Linked DNA regions of Arabidopsis thaliana. The protein of the gene in region 1 purifies or fractionates together with the protein of each later gene. This does not show direct contact. Each region holds a gene or a part of one and is shown on either strand. Other genes may lie near its edges.

Region 1 (4,435 bases):
GTGTTGTGGGGTTTCTTCTACTACATATGTGGTTGATTTCGACCTCGTATAAATTGTTTTTAATACTTATGGTAAATTTAAAGAATTCGGAATCTTAGTGACAAAGGAAATATTTTCGTTATCTTCTGAAATAATAGGATAAAACTGGATTATTGTCTAATGTCAACGAACGAAGATAACACTGAGGAAAAGTGTCTTCGTCAAATCGTTAACGGTTCATCTATCGAAATTCGACCTTATTTAATCGCATTACTCCAAATAGTAAAGATTGGTAAAAAAAATTTATCAACTTAAGGACTAAACGAAACTAAGTACAGAAAACATTTTAGTAGTAACAAAGTTCATGGTTTTATTCTTTAGAGGGATTTGATTGGCTTCCATAAGAGAATGAACTAATGATTGTTTCGTTGGAAGAAGTTTAAAGTAACTTGATCGTTGGTATTTGAGAAGTATTTTATGTATAATCCTAAAGACTTCAACAAAAATAAATAAAATATTATCCTAAAGTTAATTGTCAGAAACTTATAATAAAATTGTAAGATCTTTTGTTGTCGACAGTCGACGACAAATAAGATAATGCGTTTGTTGTTATTATCATAACTTATACCGTAAGTTATCAATATGAATCATATGATTTACAAGATAGACTCATCATAGTCATAGATCACATCGAGACGGAAGTTTTTTTAAGTTAAGAATGAAAAAGAAGGGAAGATAATTAAAATTATTGGCAGGGGAGCCTCGGAGATATCCCACATATGCTCAATTGTTGGGCTTCCAAACCTCTTATTTTATGTTGACTTGAGCATGCACCAACATGCATTAATATAAGTGTCATCGTATAAGTTATTAATGTCACGTCTCATCCGTCAAAAACACACAATTGTCAATCGTCCATATCTCTGCTAGGTATGATCAAACCCGACCACTCGTAAATCCATGTTATGAACTCAGATAATGTTATCTCTGTTAATATTTCTTGAATGTCCCAAAATTTAAGGGGGATGGCAATTAGGGAATGAACACTTCGATATGGTTCAAACCTTACGTTTCGCATCGATTCATGCTCTCGTCCCTATCTCCCCCACACCCAACACGTCGGAGCAAATCATCTGGTGTATTAACACTTTCATGAAGATTGGTCTCTATACAAGTAGAGAATCGTATATAAATAGTCATAGAGATAAGAAAGCTAATTAGATAAGGATCATCATTATCTAAATGACTAATTATAATTAGGAGTTATCTCAATACTTATCAAAAACTTTTGATCTACTTGCGTACGCTATATAGCTAGATTAACCACAAATCTTTTTCGAACATATCCGAATTTTCGCCTTTTTTATATGACGGTTTTTTCTAACGTATGATCTTTAGATATATCATGACTATACGTTCAATGAATACATGTTATTGTATAGTTAATATTTATGCTAGAAAAGTATAGAGTAATCTTATTATTTCATTGAATGTAAAACATAATCATCAAGAAAACTAATGCAAATAAAACAAATTAACAAAAAGGAGTAAGATAGGAAAAAACATAATCATGGATTAGGATAACTGGATAAGCATTGGATTAAGCAAAACGGAAAAAGGAAAAACAAATATTGTAGTATTTTAATAAATTACTTCAGTACAAATACAACCACATAATTAAGAACATAATGATTTTAAAAAGCTCGTAAGAATCGCCTACGTACTTAGTTGAATGTTTGAAGATTTGAAGAATAGACAACCTCCGAAGTATTTAAATTTTGAAAGAAGAAAAAAAAAACCGTTTGAGCAATCACAAAAATGTGAAAGCTGAGTTGGAGAAGAAAGGGTCCATTGGATCCCCTGACATGCTCACAACACACATGTGTCCCTCTGAGCTGTCTCCATTTTTGTTAACCCAACTTGCTTCCATTATTGTATCAATCTCACAACTCCAATTTCTTTTCACAATTAGTAAATAACTATATTAACAAATCTACAAAAAACTAGCCCCTATTTTAACCACTAGACCCAAAATTTTATAATTCCTTAAGGTGCCTATACTAATAGTAGCAAAATCACATTACCAATTATTTTGTTAATTGACCAAATTTTATCCAATAATCACATTACCAATTTTTCTAAAAGTGTATTTATGTTGTTCTTAATTTGAGGTGAAAAAAAATCCCCCTTTAAAAAGCAGGACCGGCCACAAATCCAACGGCCCAGATTAGATCTTGGTTCCAAATTTCACTCTTTTCCTCTAAAACGCATTTATCACTTTCCCTCATTAAACACAAAAACTCATTCATCGTCCTCTCTCGCTTGACCTACAACACCCGATTCTCTAATCGAAACCGTTTCTCTCTTTTTGATCAGATCTCAGATCTTTCCCTCTTTGATTCTTCTTCCTTAGATCGATTCTCTCTAGAAACAACAATGGCGTCTGGGCGTGAAGAGTTCGTATACATGGCTAAGCTCGCGGAGCAAGCGGAGAGGTACGAAGAGATGGTAGAGTTTATGGAGAAAGTCTCCGCCGCCGTTGATGGCGATGAACTCACCGTAGAAGAGCGAAATCTTCTCTCCGTCGCTTATAAGAATGTGATTGGTGCTCGCCGTGCCTCGTGGCGTATCATTTCATCGATCGAGCAGAAGGAAGAGAGCCGTGGTAACGATGACCACGTCACGGCGATCCGTGAATATAGGTCTAAGATCGAGACGGAACTCTCCGGAATCTGCGACGGAATCCTTAAGTTGCTTGACTCTAGACTCATCCCTGCCGCTGCTTCTGGTGATTCCAAGGTCTTTTACCTTAAGATGAAGGGAGATTATCACAGGTACTTGGCTGAGTTTAAGACTGGTCAAGAGAGGAAAGACGCCGCCGAACATACACTCGCCGCTTACAAATCTGCTCAGGTTTGATTCCGAATCTCAGATCTAGTTTATTTGAGTCTAGTGTGTGATCCGTGGATGGTGGTTTGTTAGATTTCCAGTATAATGAGACTTAAATTAGGGATTTGTGTATTCTCGAATAAGATCTTGAGATTGTCTAGGTTTTGAGCTTATAGTCTCTATGTGTAATTATCTGTGCAGGATATTGCTAATGCAGAGCTTGCTCCAACACACCCAATTCGTCTTGGTCTTGCATTGAACTTCTCTGTGTTCTATTACGAGATCCTCAATTCTCCTGATCGTGCCTGTAACCTCGCCAAACAGGTATTTCAATCTACTCATCTTTCAATTATGATAATGTGATTGGACTTGGTTTAACACTTGACCTCATTGGACATAAATTTGACTGGTTTTGTTGTTGTTATGTATCGTCAAGGCCTTTGATGAGGCGATTGCAGAGTTGGACACTCTTGGTGAAGAGTCATACAAAGACAGTACCTTGATCATGCAGCTTCTTCGTGACAATCTCACTCTCTGGACATCTGATATGCAGGTTTGTTCATATAATCCCCGCACCTTTGTTCTTTCTTTGTTTCTGTTATGGATGATTCGCATTCCATTGACTAAATTCTGTAACGGTGGGGATTATATTAGGATGATGCTGCGGATGAGATCAAGGAAGCAGCAGCGCCAAAACCGACCGAGGAACAGCAGTGATCTTTTGAGTGAAACTGCTAGTTTTCTTCTAGGGTTTGGAATTTCTTCTCTTTCTCGTCCATATGTTTTTCTTAATCCATCTAAGAGGTCGCTCTTGCCATTTCGCTCATCTTCAAAAGCTTATTCATTCATCATATTTGTGGCAAGTCTGAACCATCAATCATCTTTTTATCTCTTTTTAATTTATTTTCTCTTTTCTTATTTCTTTGTTGTTATCGATTTCAATGTCTGTGTAATCGAAACTTGCTTTCTTTTCTCATCAATTTGAAGATCATAAAGTCTCTTGTCTCTTATCTTGTTGCGTAGATTGATTGTTTATCAATTTTTAATTTTAAAAGCGGACTAGTTTATTGGACTGCGTAAAGCCAATTACTTTACCTGGTCTGAAATCAATCATCAATTTGATTATATAAAAATAAAAATACATTTCAAAAGAACTATTTAAGCAATAGACACTCGTTAGTCATTTGACACTTTACAGGTTTAAATTAATGATCTCGTCAGAGTTTGAAGTTTCAACTTAAAATGAAAGCATCAGAGCATAAAATTCAACCAAAGGAACAGTGAAGTGTTTGGTATAGCTAATCAACCAATCAAAAATTTAATACCCCATCGAATAGACGATGAAGAAAAAACTCTTGTATGCAATCTGATTTACAAAGAGATGAAATCATAATGGCAAACTTATAAAAATTGAATAGAGTTGCAAAAGTGTATTCCTTTCTTTTTCCTAGTCTTCTTTGTTTCTAACATGAACAAACCATGAAAACAAAAGAAAGTAAAAAAAAAAACGGATTTAAGTAATCTTTGAGTTAATTAACAAAAAAAAAAACAAATGATCCCACCACTC
Region 2 (7,063 bases), on another chromosome or scaffold:
CATTTTTTTTTTTTGGTGTGTGTGTGTGTGTTAATATATTTTGACGTTATGTGACTTAGTCAAACCAATCCGTTTATATAATTTCCTTGTATAGTGTCGATGCACAAAATCAATTGATGATACCCTTATATTTTTGTATTCAGATACTTGAAATGGGAATAGTGTCACATTCAATAATCATAGGAATATCGCTTGGAGTATCACATAGCCCATGCACCATACGTCCTCTCCTTCTCGCTCTTTCCTTCCACCAATTCTTCGAAGGTTTTGCCCTCGGTGGCTGCGTCGCAGAGGCCAGACTAACCCCGCGTGGATCTGCCATGATGGCTTTCTTCTTCGCCATCACTACTCCGATCGGTGTAGCGGTGGGAACGGCCATTGCCTCATCTTACAACTCTTATAGCGTTGCAGCATTGGTGGCTGAAGGAGTGCTCGATTCTCTCTCTGCGGGGATACTTGTGTACATGGCGCTTGTGGATTTGATCGCTGCGGATTTCTTGAGCAAGAAGATGAGTGTTGATTTCAGAGTTCAAGTTGTTTCTTATTGCTTTTTGTTTCTTGGAGCTGGGATGATGTCTGCTCTTGCAATTTGGGCTTGATCACTTTTCATTATTACTATTTGTTTATGAAAGTAATAAATTTAGGCATGCCTTTTTCTTTTTTCTTTTGGACAGAATTATTATAGGTATGCCTATCACTCTATTTGTTTCAAAATAATGTTTGTAATCAATTCTATTAGATATTCACTCTTTATCAATCATGTTATATATTTTTGTAGCTGGTAAACAAATAATTAATTTTTGAACAAAAAACAAAAACAAATACAATTAGTTTTTACAAGCAAGTATGCAACTGAAATCCAAAGATTTTCTTGACGCCTTTTCGAGCATATTCTAATCCTTCATTTTGATTTAGCTCAAGAAACGCCATAATAGAACCATATATATGAACTAAGTGTTTTTAAAAAGAGTAGGTCATGACTCATGAGTAATCTTTTCCACGATCTTTAAGATATATTATTCTTGGAAGGTCGAAAACTATAATATTTCATTTTCTGTCGAATATATATATATATGGATGACGATGGTTCCCATGCATGATGAAGAAAAAGACGAACCCTATATTTATCTGTTTAATTAAAATTTTCTTTGTGGAGATAAACTCTCTGTGAAACGCATTCCGCCACCTAATTTATCATATATTTTCATGTGAACCAAAATAATTAAAATTTGTTTGCCATATATATATTTATTTGTTGTTATCTTTCTGAGTGATAAAGGTGACAAACATTTTTGTCCACTGATACCCAATCTCTTCCACTTCAGTTCCCTTCCTTTCAAATTTTATCTCGTGCTTTTACAGCATATCCCACAATTCCTGTAAATTATCTCAAGGATTTGGTGCATAAATTCTATTTTTTCGTACTTTTTTGTTGGATATGTAAATCAGAACCAAAAAAACTTAACATTGATTAAACTTTACAATTTACGTATGTCCCATTAGAGGGGAACTACAGTTTTTGTAGGAAAATAAGAAATTTGCGAACTAAAGACACTAAATAATCCTACTTTTAAAATCACAATAGTTAGTACTCAATAAAAAATATTGTATATTGTTGTGAAAAAATGTAAATAGTTTGGAGAAACTGCTACTAATAAACAAATAATTAAGAGATGTCGGAGATCCAATTTAATCATAAAAATAAAATGATTAGCACAATATTGCACTACTGATTTAGATGCGATACACGTGGAATCTGCAACTTTTCACCAACCACATCCGAGCCTACACCACGAAATTTGAGGATTTTTATTTATTTCCCAAAAATTTCTCTGTATTTATAAACTAACTATTTCTTGGGACGTGAATATACACATTTTATATTCAACGGTCCGTGAGTGTATATTGTATATACTCTCTCTCAGATTCCCTCCTTGTAGCTAGCTTCTACCTCCTCCTTTCATTCATGGCGAAAAACTAAAAAAGACATCCATCTTTCTCAAAACATCTCTCTTACTCTCTTCGTTTTCTGACTGCAACCTTTTTTCCCAATGGAGCGCGCAAGGAGACTTGCTTACAGAGGAATCGTCAAACGTCTCGTTAACGACACAAAACGACACCGTAACGCTGAAACACCTCACCTTGTTCCTCACGCTCCGGCGAGGTATGTCTCTTCCCTTTCCCCTTTCATCTCCACCCCTCGATCTGTCAACCACACGGCGGCTTTCGGGAGGCACCAGCAGACGCGTTCCATCTCCGTCGATGCTGTTAAACCCAGCGATACTTTCCCTCGTCGTCACAACTCTGCAACACCAGACGAACAAACCCACATGGCTAAATTCTGTGGCTTTGACCATATCGATTCACTCATCGATGCTACGGTGCCCAAATCGATTCGATTAGATTCCATGAAGTTCTCCAAATTCGACGCTGGTTTAACCGAGAGCCAAATGATTCAACACATGGTTGATTTAGCTTCCAAGAACAAGGTTTTCAAATCCTTCATCGGGATGGGTTACTACAACACTCATGTCCCTACTGTCATTCTCCGTAACATCATGGAGAATCCAGCTTGGTACACTCAATACACTCCTTATCAAGCTGAGATCTCTCAAGGTCGTCTCGAATCGCTCCTCAATTTCCAGACCGTGATCACAGATCTCACGGGTCTTCCTATGTCCAATGCGTCGCTTCTGGATGAAGGCACTGCTGCTGCGGAGGCAATGGCCATGTGTAACAACATTCTTAAGGGTAAAAAGAAGACCTTTGTCATTGCTAGTAACTGTCACCCTCAGACTATTGATGTTTGTAAGACTAGAGCTGATGGGTTTGATTTGAAAGTTGTCACCTCTGATCTTAAGGATATAGATTACAGCTCTGGTGATGTTTGTGGGGTTCTTGTTCAGTATCCTGGTACTGAAGGTGAAGTCTTGGATTATGCTGAGTTTGTTAAGAATGCTCATGCTAATGGTGTTAAGGTTGTGATGGCTACGGATTTGCTGGCTTTGACTGTGTTGAAACCTCCTGGAGAATTTGGGGCGGATATTGTTGTTGGCTCTGCTCAAAGGTTTGGTGTTCCGATGGGTTATGGTGGTCCTCATGCTGCGTTCTTGGCTACTTCACAAGAGTATAAGAGAATGATGCCTGGGAGGATTATTGGTATTAGTGTTGATTCTTCAGGAAAGCAAGCTCTGCGTATGGCTATGCAGACTAGAGAACAGCATATTAGGAGGGACAAAGCCACTAGCAACATCTGTACTGCTCAAGTAATTACTTCTTAGTATCTGATTACTCATTTTTCACTTTTCACTATTAGTTCGTTCAGATAACTAGATGATATGTTGATTCATGTTGATGAGTACTTCATCTTTTCATTTTCCTGCAGGCGTTGCTTGCCAACATGGCTGCCATGTATGCTGTTTACCATGGACCTGCAGGTCTAAAATCTATTGCCCAGCGTGTCCATGGTCTCGCTGGTATATTTTCCTTAGGGTTGAACAAGCTTGGGGTTGCAGAAGTTCAAGAACTTCCTTTCTTTGACACTGTTAAAATTAAGTGTTCGGATGCACATGCAATTGCTGATGCAGCTTCCAAAAGTGAAATTAATCTGCGTGTTGTGGACTCAACCACTGTGAGTCTCCTTTGCTTTGGCCTTTCAAGGTTTTTACTCTCATAGCATCATACAGATTTGAATATTTGGATATGATTACTTAATTCAGATTACTGCTTCCTTTGACGAAACAACCACCTTGGATGATGTCGATAAACTTTTCAAAGTTTTTGCTTCTGGCAAGCCTGTGAGTGTTGTTCATACCTCTTTTTGTTATTGATATATCATTTCTAGGATCCTTGCATGAAATTTGACTATCTCAATTCGCTTCAGGTTCCATTTACGGCTGAATCTCTAGCACCCGAGGTTCAGAATTCCATTCCTTCTAGCCTAACAAGAGAGAGTCCTTATCTTACCCACCCAATCTTCAACATGTATTATTCTGTTCTTTGAATCTTGAGTGGCTTATTACTTGTGGATTGGCAGTATCTCATTTTTGTTTTCCATTTTGATAATATGATTAGGTACCACACAGAGCATGAGTTGCTTAGGTACATCCACAAGTTACAGTCAAAGGATCTATCACTGTGCCACAGCATGATTCCGTTGGGATCTTGTACGATGAAACTAAATGCAACAACTGAAATGATGCCAGTCACATGGCCAAGTTTCACTGACATTCACCCTTTTGCTCCTGTTGAACAAGCACAAGGTTATCAGGTTAGTGACTTTCTTGATTCATCTGAGGTCTGATTTAGAAAGTTGAACAATGAACTGATATCTTGTCCACATGTATGTAGGAAATGTTCGAAAATTTGGGTGACCTCTTGTGTACGATCACTGGGTTTGACTCTTTCTCGTTGCAACCTAATGCTGGTGCTGCTGGTGAGTATGCCGGGCTTATGGTTATCCGCGCATATCACATGGTAACATCTTTTATCCTAAATTTGGATCTTATTCTACCTAACAATCTTCTATTCAATTGTATTAAGCTGAAAAGTGAATGAATGAATGCATTTTTCAGTCAAGAGGAGATCATCACCGTAATGTGTGTATCATACCTGTCTCTGCACACGGTACAAACCCTGCAAGTGCTGCTATGTGCGGGATGAAAATTATTACAGTTGGAACTGATGCTAAGGGAAACATTAACATTGAGGAGGTGAGAAAAGCTGCAGAAGCCAACAAAGACAACTTAGCTGCTCTTATGGTTACATACCCTTCAACTCATGGAGTCTATGAAGAGGGCATCGACGAGATTTGCAACATAATACACGAAAATGGAGGTCAAGTGTACATGGATGGTGCCAACATGAATGCACAGGTGAAATATCTTACTAAAACAGAACACAGAGATCTTGAATTTTCTCTAATTTGTAAGAGCATGGTGTTGGGTACGTGTAGGTTGGTTTGACGAGCCCTGGTTTTATTGGAGCGGATGTGTGCCATCTCAATCTCCACAAGACCTTCTGTATTCCTCATGGAGGTGGTGGTCCTGGTATGGGTCCCATTGGTGTGAAGAATCATTTGGCACCATTTCTTCCTTCTCACCCCGTGGTTAGTCTTTTATCCTTCATCACTTTTATGTTTCTTGGTGATTGATGATTAATTCCTTAATTTTTTGTTTCTTCCATTTCCATGTATACAGATACCGACTGGTGGTATCCCACAACCCGAGAAGACAGCACCTTTGGGTGCAATATCCGCTGCACCATGGGGATCTGCGCTTATCTTGCCTATATCTTATACTTACATTGCCATGATGGGATCTGGTGGGCTCACTGATGCCTCTAAGATTGCAATTTTGAATGCCAATTACATGGCAAAGCGCCTAGAGGTAGTAGAACATCTTTGTCTTCTATTTACCTATTCATCTTTTGAGAATGAAAGGAGTCTAATTTTCCTCTTGATTTGTTTTTACAGAAACACTACCCAGTTCTTTTCCGTGGTGTTAACGGAACAGTAGCACACGAATTCATCATAGACTTGAGAGGCTTCAAGGTATGAAAATGTTGTGAACTGAAATTAAAGTAGTTGTTTTGGGTATGCATATCACTGACCGATTCAAATATGAATTTGTAGAACACTGCTGGAATAGAACCAGAGGATGTGGCGAAACGGCTAATGGACTATGGATTCCATGGACCCACAATGTCTTGGCCTGTCCCTGGAACTCTTATGATTGAGCCAACCGAGAGTGAAAGCAAGGTAAATATGGATATATGCAGATCTCTCATTGACTCTTTCTTCTCTCAGTGTATCAACTTGATGAAACTAAATAATATTCGTTTGCAGGCGGAGCTAGACAGGTTCTGCGATGCTCTCATTTCAATCAGGGAAGAAATTGCACAGATTGAAAAAGGAAATGCAGATGTCCAGAACAACGTTCTCAAGGTAATTAGGAAAACAAAGACTTATCATAATTATATCCAATAATAATATTGTTCGGAGAAGTTGAGATTCATACGTTGGTGGTTGTTTGTTTTCTCAGGGAGCTCCACATCCCCCATCGTTGCTAATGGCAGACACATGGAAAAAGCCGTATTCTCGAGAGTATGCTGCTTTCCCTGCGCCTTGGCTCCGCTCCTCCAAGTTCTGGCCCACCACAGGTATTAGACCATCCAAGATATAGATTGCACATTTGGTTTTCGATTCAGTTTATTCTGGTTTCGGAATTCTGATATGTGACAAATGATTGAAATGTGGAACAGGGCGTGTGGACAATGTATATGGAGACAGGAAACTGGTGTGCACTCTCCTCCCAGAGGAAGAACAAGTCGCAGCTGCAGTGTCTGCTTGATTACTGCTCTGTCCCATTGTGTTGTGTCCCTTTCTCTCACCACGCACTCTTCTCTTTCACATTCTGTCCATAGTGTTCTCATTATACGCTTTCTGTCTCTTACTCTATTATTTCATTCGAATACATCTTCTATAAATTATATATTCCACAATTGACCGAAAACAAAACACAAACTTTGGTAGAATCAAGACTTAAATCAACTATACTGCCATAGACGCAAGATGAAAAGAAAAATGCTTCATTACTTTCAATGGAACAATTACAGTAAAGTCATCAAAACAAAGCAAAGTGCTTGACAATTTTACTTACAGCTAATAATCATCAACTACGTTGGCTTAAAATAAAATAAGGAAAACCTTCTTTCCTCGTTCTGCTCTTGCGCTATGACAATCTCACTCGAATTACAGGACCAAGCAGAAAAAAGATGACCGGTGTTGCATGGACAGTTGTGCCTCAGTCTTCAACCTCAGTGTTGAATATAAAACTTGGGAATGCTGTCGTCACATCCCTTCAAATTCAAATACAGATATGGTTGATGATAAAGTAAAGGAAATCCTAAATGGAAGGGCTAATCTAAAAAAGAGAGAGGATTTGGTACTTTAGGTAAGGAAGAGTCATATTCTTCAACAAGCTAGGATGTTTATGCACATAGACATTCCATTCATCCTTACTAATTTTACCGTCTTTGTCAGAATCTGCATCAGCAAATGTCT
Region 3 (5,137 bases), 6.4 Mb from region 1:
TTGCATTTACATTATGTAGTAGTCTAATAAAATATAATTATAGATAATAGAAAAGTCAATAGTTCTAATATGATAACAACAAAAGAAAATGTATACTTTAAAATCTGAAAATTACCATTCTTTTATTTGTTATCCCAAACATAAGCCATGTACTATAATTAGGTTATTGTAATTTATTATAAAAAAAAAAGAAAGAATATTCCTGTACTTCATGATTTCTTTTTGTAACGAAGTACATAAAATTTTCAAATCACATGTGGTAACCATGATTTAACAAAAAATTAAGTCGGTGACAAGCAACGAAACATAAATAATCGACTTTGTCAAGATATGTATAAAAATCGACTTTGTATTTAGAGAACAAGGTCTTCATTATTTTTCTTTTTTAACATTAGAGAAAGAGAACTAAAGGTCTACTTCAAGAAAACAAGAAACTAGGTGCTTAGCTTTAATAATATATCAAAGAAAAATGGGTCAAAAAATAAATTATTACATGAGTGGGGCCCGGCCGGCCACGGAAGTAAGACCTAACGACCAGCGCAACCGGTCACCAGTCAAGACTATTAGAAGCCGGGCCGTCAAAATCGTTGACTCGGTTTTTGTTTCCAACTGTTTTTGTATTTTGTTAAAAATAAATTAATACTAATAAATAAGCTGAAAAAAAAGAAAAGAGAAAAGGTATAATCACGTGGAACGCGCCGCAGTAAACGGAGCGGTGGATCAAACTTTTCGTCCGTTTGATCAAACAGAAGAGAACTAGTCAATGCTCTTTCTTCATATCACAATTTAATAGTCTCAAGACGATTACGCCACATAACCATTTTCTCGTGATTTCGACATCAAAATTTAATAAAAGGAACTGATTGATTGGTCATCATGTTACAAGTGTCAAATGAGCTAATCCGTTTTACAGTGGCATAGTTTACGATCAATTTACAAATTTTTGGTTTTATAACATACTTGTAGTTAAAACTATTTATAAGCTATTTATAGTGAGTTAGCTTATAAAACCCTATTCTTTTATCTAAAATTATGTTTTGACTCGTTTCATGATAAAATTTTATCCTTTTCATCGGAATAAAAAACTTTATTATTTATTTGGCAAAATAATTGGTGTAAAAATTATGTATATGTTAATAACAAAAAATATTAATCTGATTCATAATCTTAAAAAAGAAAAATTTCTTGAAATAAACTTTAGACATTGTAAATAAAAAAACATTATTTTTATATAATGGGATGTTTATATGTAATTTTTTATAAAAAAATAAAAGTTGTTTACTAGTAATCCGATTGGCTTTAACTATCGTCGCCAAAAGAATAATGTAGAACTGACTTTGAGGTAAAACTAAAAGAAATTTGTAAGATAATAGTCACATTAAATGCTAAAATTAATACATACTGATATATCGTATAAAATTTATGAAAACTACACCTTAACCTGAATCATACACTGTAATAAAAAAAACAAATTATATATAAACCCTAAAAACTAATCATAAATCCCAAACGGTGTACTCTCTATTAGCTTTGAAAGGATTGCCCAATTGTTTGTTAAAAATTTCTAATAATAGTACAATGTTTTGTTTCATTTTTCCTTTTCGTCAACCTGTTACCCAATAGCAAATGAAGTTTTTATGTGTGTGTGTGTGTGTGAATTTCCATGAAAATGAAACGGGCTTAGAATCCCGGTGTATTATGGGTCGGGTCGTAACCGGGCAATGACGCAGGATCTGACGTAAAACTCCCAAGAATTTTTTTAAAAAGTCTCCGGAAAATAAAATCAAAGTTCATTAACTTAAAAAGAAAAAACAAAATCGGTCCACGTCCCAAACCCTTTTTATAGGAGAGTCTTATGTTCTGGCAGAAGACTTCACAGACTCTTTCTTAATCTCTCTCTCTTTCAACCAAACCCCTAAACAAAAAAAAAATACATTTTCTGATCTCTCTAAAAATCTTTCTCCTTCGTTAATCTCGTGATCTCTTTCTTTTTCTATATATGGACAGAGGATGGTCTGGTCTCACTCTTGATTCATCTTCTCTTGATCTTTTAAACCCTAATCGTATTTCTCATAAGAATCACCGACGTTTCTCAAATCCTTTGGCGATGTCTAGAATTGACGAAGAAGATGATCAGAAGACGAGAATATCAACCAACGGTAGTGAATTTAGGTTTCCGGTGAGTCTCTCAGGTATTCGTGATCGTGAAGATGAAGATTTTTCATCTGGCGTTGCTGGAGATAATGACCGTGAAGTTCCCGGCGAAGTGGATTTCTTCTCCGACAAGAAATCTAGGGTTTGTCGTGAAGACGACGAAGGATTTCGTGTGAAGAAGGAAGAACAAGATGATCGAACGGACGTAAATGTAAGTACGACTTTTCGATAAATCATATGAAATACAATTTTCTTACTAATGGTTTGTATTAGTGTGGACGTGTCATAATTTGGTTTACATTTGAAATATCAAATAAAAATACCAAATTTTGTTTCATTTTTTTTTTTTTGATAAAGGTATCATATTTTGTTTTCTTACAAAATGATTTCTAAATTTGAATTTTAATTTGTTATAGACCGGTTTGAATCTTCGAACAACTGGTAATACAAAGAGTGATGAGTCAATGATCGATGATGGAGAATCTTCCGAAATGGAAGATAAGCGTGCGAAAAATGAGGTAAGTTTAGTTTGATTTTACATTAGTAATATTTAATAGATGAATAATTTGAACCGGTTTGATTAATATTTCGATTTTTTTTTGTTTATCACAGTTGGTGAAATTACAAGATGAGTTGAAGAAAATGACAATGGATAATCAAAAGCTTAGAGAATTGCTTACACAAGTTAGCAACAGTTACACTTCACTTCAGATGCATCTTGTTTCACTAATGCAGCAACAGCAACAACAGAACAATAAGGTAAATAATTATTAGATTGATCAACCACAAGTAAATGGAATTTACCCTACATGAATAGGCAATTAATTTTGGTGAACCTATATGATTAGGTAATAGAAGCTGCTGAGAAGCCTGAGGAGACGATAGTACCAAGGCAATTTATTGATTTAGGCCCTACGAGAGCAGTAGGTGAGGCCGAGGATGTGTCAAATTCTTCATCCGAAGATAGAACTCGTTCGGGGGGTTCTTCTGCAGCCGAGAGGCGTAGTAACGGGAAGAGACTTGGGCGTGAAGAAAGCCCCGAAACTGAGTCCAACAAAATTCAGAAGGTGAATTCTACTACCCCGACGACATTTGATCAAACCGCTGAAGCTACGATGAGGAAAGCCCGTGTCTCCGTTCGTGCCCGATCGGAAGCTCCGATGGTAAGTTGATTTATTAGATACTAATACTTATAAGACTATATAAAAAATAAACTATGTGCTTTAGAGATTAATTATCTTTGTACTTTATGTTTCTATAGATAAGCGATGGATGTCAATGGAGAAAATATGGCCAGAAGATGGCCAAAGGGAATCCTTGTCCGCGGGCATATTACCGCTGCACGATGGCCACGGGCTGTCCCGTTCGCAAACAAGTAAGATTTAAAAGATTTAACCATTGGACTAAAAGATTCTTGTTGTAAAAACATTAGAGATTTCAATGTATATATGTTTGCGTGATTGGCTAATACGTTCGGTCCGAAATGATATTTATAGGTTCAACGTTGCGCGGAAGACAGATCAATTCTGATTACAACCTACGAGGGAAACCATAACCATCCGTTGCCGCCAGCCGCGGTAGCCATGGCTTCTACCACCACGGCGGCGGCTAACATGTTGCTATCCGGGTCAATGTCTAGTCACGACGGGATGATGAACCCTACAAATTTACTAGCTAGGGCTGTTCTTCCTTGCTCCACAAGCATGGCAACAATCTCAGCCTCCGCGCCGTTTCCAACCGTCACATTAGACCTCACCCACTCACCTCCGCCTCCTAATGGTTCCAATCCTTCCTCTTCCGCGGCTACCAACAACAACCACAACTCACTGATGCAGCGGCCGCAACAACAACAACAGCAAATGACGAACTTACCTCCGGGAATGCTACCTCATGTAATAGGCCAGGCATTGTATAACCAATCCAAGTTCTCGGGGCTGCAGTTCTCTGGTGGCTCTCCCTCGACGGCAGCGTTTTCTCAGTCACACGCGGTGGCTGATACAATAACGGCACTCACAGCTGACCCGAATTTCACGGCGGCTCTTGCAGCCGTTATTTCTTCTATGATCAATGGTACGAACCACCACGACGGCGAAGGAAACAACAAAAATCAATAGAAAAATATTACATTTTTTTTTTGGGTATCTACATTTTTTTTCCAACTGGGTTATAGGAAACAGAGAGTTTATTTCATTGATTCACATTTGTTCTGTTTCGTACCAAAATCCCAGTAAATATACAAAAGCAAACTATACTCAAGTTCATATTCGTAAACACTATAAATAGTTACGTAACTTAATTAGCATTGCCTTTAAAGCTTTAATATTTGATATTTCTTTTGAGTGGTATATTAAATACTTCACATGTGAGCGCCGATACAAACCTAATAGTTTGGCCGTACCTTCAATAAGATAATGAGATATCATCAAATAAGTGTCCTACATAATGACACTTAATTATTGAACTTTTAATAACCTTTTTATATATATTTAACAATTGCAACGGTCAATAAATGCTACCATAACAATTTGACACGTAATTGCTGTCTAATTAAGTCACCTAAAAATCTGTACACATTAATATTTGCTAACAAATAGAGACAACTTCCTAGAAACTACGAGTTTAATGGCATGAAAAATTTGAAGATAAATAAACTGAAATATGTGACCAAAAATTTAGGCAACAATATAACGAAAAGTTTAGCTTTGTCAATTTCTTCATTTTTATGAAGTAAAAATAGGATTTTCTAGAAAATTATTAAAATTTCGATACGTAATTATCTGTGTACTGTGGAGTAATAATATTGTAAATAGATGGAATAATATCTCAAGCTTTGGAAGGAAGCGATACGCAAAAGTACGTTGTTGACTTTCCGTGCAACTCTAGTTGACGTGGGGGTCATGATTTGCCAATAATGCATTTTTTTAATACAGGTAAGTCTTTATTATGCTTAATTTTAAATTGCACTAAAAACCAAGTTTTGATC
Region 4 (4,088 bases), on another chromosome or scaffold:
GTGCTAAGAGCATCATTATTGCTAGTGTCTTAGATTACTCTTAACTTAGTTCTTAGAACTTTTTATGAATTAATTTTAAAATTTCTGAAACAAAAACTAAGAAAACTTCAATTTGTCTCTTATATAAGAGACTCTCTTAACAAATATATGATTAAAAACATTAAATTCATAACCAAAGTTTTCTAAGAATTAACCTAAGCAATTATCAATAATGGTGCTCTAAGAGCTTCTAGAGTTTCTTTCTATTAAACAACTACCATTGAGGGTGCTCTTAAGACTCTTTCTAAGAACCGACAAAACTGGACTTGTGTCTGAGCCGAGATGAAGGAGGACTAATAACTAGGTTTGGGCTTGATTGTGTGACTACTTGTAACTGATCCATTTTTCAAATGCACACAAATAGCATACCACATTCTGTCACAAGATATAAATAAAACACTAGAAATTTACAACTTTACCAGAAACCAAGGCCTAATTTTTGTATATGGGCCAAAAACTATAATCTTTTCCAACAAGAAACCACAAATATAGTTAATTAGATCGAAGAAAGAAGGTTTCCATTGTAATGTAAATCTCTCTTTATTGTTGGTGGTGCTCAAACTCTAAACCCCCTAGATGCTCCAGATTCCAAAAGTTCACTCGTTGAGCTACCAACTCCGTATCCATTAAATCACATCTCTTATCTCAACCAACATATTAATTATCAATCAGCCACTAATGAATGATTACCAAACTCAAACTACAACTACTTCAGTTTGGTTTACTCTCACTGAACCGGACTCAAATTTTAGAGCTGAAATGCAGAACATTTCCTTTACATAATCATCAAATTCAATCTCTGCACAAAGGTTAACAATCTTTGTACCAAAACCAATCTCTTAATTAGAACAATCAACCATATATCTTTTACATTACACAAAAACATATGAGTGTAATAACTCAGAAGATTCACAATCCAATATAACCCAAAAATTAAATAAATTAAAAACATAAACTCAATTAATAGCATCGCACCTTCTTCGGATCTCTCCTCTTCTACCAGTCTGTATACCAAAAAGACTCAACTTCTGCATAGCTTTAGCAAAATCTTTGAAAAACAGATCTTGATTCTTAGCATAAAGATCAACAAAATATCTGGTTCTAGGGTCAGAATATAATCCATGATCCGATTCAAGTAACCCAAGACCCTTTTTAAGATTCTGATAATACATATTATCAAACTTATTAGGAGTCATAATATCATTAAACACAGAGATAGTCGGATCTTTAGGGTAATTAGCACAAGCTTTCTTCAAAGCCACTGCGAATCTCGGGTTATACCCGGTATTATTCCGACCCACCCGACCCACAAACTCTTTACAATGTGAAAACCCTATAGAATGTGCTCCACTAAGAGCAACCATTTCTTGAACAGTGAAACCTTTTGATTCAAACTGTTGAATGATTTTAGAGATTGGTGTGGAAGGAAGAGGAAGAAGATCGGTTAAAAGAGAAGATTTCGACGTTCTTGAATCACGACGGCCGAGGAAAACGTCGTAGTAAGGACCACCGACGGTGATTAGAAGATCACGTGTTGCGACGGAGATGATGTCTGAGCAAGAAACTGTGTTGGGACAAGCGAGTTCGAGAGCTGTTTTGGCTCGGACAATGACGTCGAAACCGTCTCCGGGGAGTGAGAGGTTGATGGAAGAGTCACGTTCTGCGGTGTTGAAGGCGGTGGAGGAGATGAGGACGGAGGCGTCGCAGCCGTTAGGGAAACAGTCGTGGAAGAAGAGACGGATAACGGCGGCTGCGGTGGTGGGATTAGTGATTTGTTTGTTTGTGATTGTGTCACGGATGATGTCGAGGAATCTTGGGCATGTTTTTGAGTAGAAGTTTGTGGTTAAGCGAGATTGAGCTGTGAAGAAGAAGAGGAAGAGGAGGAAGAGAGATTTGAGTGAAGCCATTGTTGAGAAGAGAGAGAGAGAGAGAGGGGGGTTTGGGATTATATGGAAGGAGATGAAGTAAGTGGGAGGGACAGTGGAGTTCACGCGCCGATGTACGGTCCACACCAATCACGGGGATGTGTGTAAGGTCAAAGCATAGGGCATTTCCATCCATGATAAACCCACAAAATTTTTCGAACAAAAAAAATTTAATATTATATTATAATTTGATTATTTGATTAAAAAAATTATTTTTGTTAAAAAATTAAACCAATAGTAAGATGAGAATTGTCACAATGGGTTGTAAAGAGTATCTCAGAGTTTTTCAAGTGAGAAACTTTCTACACTCTCTTTCCTTCATTTTCATTATTTTTATTTTTTTAATTATGAGAAACTCTTATGAGATACCCCCAATAGAGATGGTCTTAGGTTGGATCCGGTTTACTTGTGTAACTTTAATTACAGTATATGGATTGGTTTATTTAATGTAGACCGGTTTACGTACTAAAGATTTAGATTTGAATCGGTGAAATTTCGAGCCAAACCAGAAAGAAAAGTGTCTTGTAATGGGTTATATTTAAGAAATTTTACAAAAATAGTTGGATAACCAGAAAATGAAAAACTAATCCAAAATTTAGATTATTTTTAATTCGGTTTAGCAGAAATTTCCATTATTTATAAGATGTAGTTAGTTAGATAACAAAATTTTGGTCATATTTAAGTAAATAACTTTGATGACAAACGTTAAATTGTATGATTTTATAAAATAGTGTATAGTTATTTGGCGAAAATGCGTTCGCTAATTACTAATTTGAAGATCAAATGGTAATTTTCCAAAATATTTTTTACTTCAAAAACAAAAGAGAGAGGCCAGTGTAATTATTTATCAGAAATGTAAGATCATCAAAATGCCTATTATTTATAAACTAAAAACCTAGTACAACATTCTATATAGAGATTTAGGTGAAATTTGATTGAGGTAAAGAAAACATTCATATGTTTGGGTAAAGGCAAAACTAATAAGCGGTATTGCCGTATTGGTTTAGGAAAGGAAGTTACTAAAAACAGAATTTGCTATGTGTGCATATAGGGATATTACATAAATGATAATGCATGTGTTTAGTTCAATTATTGGTGTAAATAAATTAAGTTAATAGCAAAAATTGGCGAAACAGAGAAATTGACGGACATTACGTAGTTCACATGCAGCCTAAACTCTTTTTTTGTATGTGTTATTGATCTCTCATCCACGCGGAGAAGACAGTGAAGCAATCTCCACAAAGTCTCATGGATTTTTCATTTTTGTTTGATTAATTTAATTTTACGTGGCGATTCGGTAATCCAGCATATACGATATGGATGGGTTTTATAAAAAAAATCATTTACATGTTATATGACATGAAAAGTCTCACTTTCTCTGTTTTTTTTTCGACTCTACAGTCTTACACGTACTATGCCGATTTCCGACTTTACCCATATTCGATCCGTGGAGATTGAACATGAACATATGTTTCTACTTTTGAAATATATTTTGCTATGAGTTAAAATGTGTCAAAAAGACAACCTTTTGTATAATTCTTTGTTTACTTGAATATACATAAATAACGACACAAATATAAAAGAGTAAGTTGAACGTAAATAAACTATAAGTAAAGAATAATCATATATACATAAAATAAATTTATAAACATAGAAACGACAACTTTCATTGAAAGAAATATATTGAATGAATTTGACCATATATATATATATATTGAAGCCTAGATAAAATTATGTCACCAATATCAAAGAGAAATGTCTCACTTAGGAATAATCTAATATTAATCAAGTGGCATCATAATAATTTCAGAAGACACGCATTACCAATTTACCAGTGTTTTTTGAAGTAATATTTCACAACTATTAACTGAGTTTTCGCACATAAATTATTTCGATTGTGAATCAACTTGTGTTGAACAATTACAAAAAGAAACGTTTGTTTTGGCCTTGAAAAAAACTACATATTTTACATTATTTTAAAGTTTAAATTGTACCGGTAGTTTAAACAAATATATGATTACTTTACCTATGCAGAAATAATAACGGAATTGTCCCCTAAATCATAATATACTAAGCACTAAGTTTAAGAAAAAGTTTTTGGGCTATAATGGCTGTCCAAATATC

The links.
Region 2: the proteins of GRF2 (region 1) and GLDP1 purify together in Arabidopsis thaliana (affinity purification with mass spectrometry, with the first as the bait; one study listed by BioGRID). This does not show direct contact.
Region 3: the proteins of GRF2 (region 1) and WRKY6 purify together in Arabidopsis thaliana (affinity purification with mass spectrometry, with the first as the bait; one study listed by BioGRID). This does not show direct contact.
Region 4: the proteins of GRF2 (region 1) and AT3G28200 purify together in Arabidopsis thaliana (affinity purification with mass spectrometry, with the first as the bait; one study listed by BioGRID). This does not show direct contact.

What each region holds. Positions count from the first base shown.
Region 1 is NC_003070.9:29,459,468-29,463,902, forward strand, and holds GRF2 (general regulatory factor 2), read left to right. Parts: upstream 1-1,923; 5' UTR 1,924-2,415; coding exon 2,416-2,892; intron 2,893-3,069; coding exon 3,070-3,192; intron 3,193-3,304; coding exon 3,305-3,421; intron 3,422-3,522; coding exon 3,523-3,585; 3' UTR 3,586-3,922; downstream 3,923-4,435. UniProt on the Arabidopsis thaliana protein: Is associated with a DNA binding complex that binds to the G box, a well-characterized cis-acting DNA regulatory element found in plant genes.
Region 2 is NC_003075.7:15,926,139-15,933,201, reverse strand, and holds GLDP1 (glycine decarboxylase P-protein 1), read left to right. Parts: upstream 1-1,779; 5' UTR 1,780-2,051; coding exon 2,052-3,266; intron 3,267-3,385; coding exon 3,386-3,631; intron 3,632-3,719; coding exon 3,720-3,797; intron 3,798-3,883; coding exon 3,884-3,984; intron 3,985-4,074; coding exon 4,075-4,270; intron 4,271-4,350; coding exon 4,351-4,476; intron 4,477-4,574; coding exon 4,575-4,874; intron 4,875-4,954; coding exon 4,955-5,107; intron 5,108-5,198; coding exon 5,199-5,387; intron 5,388-5,473; coding exon 5,474-5,551; intron 5,552-5,632; coding exon 5,633-5,758; intron 5,759-5,845; coding exon 5,846-5,944; intron 5,945-6,041; coding exon 6,042-6,159; intron 6,160-6,261; coding exon 6,262-6,350; 3' UTR 6,351-6,550; downstream 6,551-7,063. Other genes in the region: ZIP9 (ZIP metal ion transporter family), read left to right, coding at 144-599; CBL10 (calcineurin B-like protein 10), read right to left, coding at 6,804-6,858, 6,949-7,061. UniProt on the Arabidopsis thaliana protein: The glycine decarboxylase (GDC) or glycine cleavage system catalyzes the degradation of glycine.
Region 3 is NC_003070.9:23,016,018-23,021,154, reverse strand, and holds WRKY6 (WRKY family transcription factor), read left to right. Parts: upstream 1-1,660; 5' UTR 1,661-1,999; coding exon 2,000-2,365; intron 2,366-2,570; coding exon 2,571-2,672; intron 2,673-2,766; coding exon 2,767-2,913; intron 2,914-3,002; coding exon 3,003-3,317; intron 3,318-3,415; coding exon 3,416-3,529; intron 3,530-3,650; coding exon 3,651-4,268; 3' UTR 4,269-4,586; downstream 4,587-5,137.
Region 4 is NC_003074.8:10,515,940-10,520,027, reverse strand, and holds AT3G28200 (Peroxidase superfamily protein), read right to left. Parts: upstream 2,052-4,088; 5' UTR 1,947-2,051; coding exon 996-1,946; 3' UTR 512-995; downstream 1-511.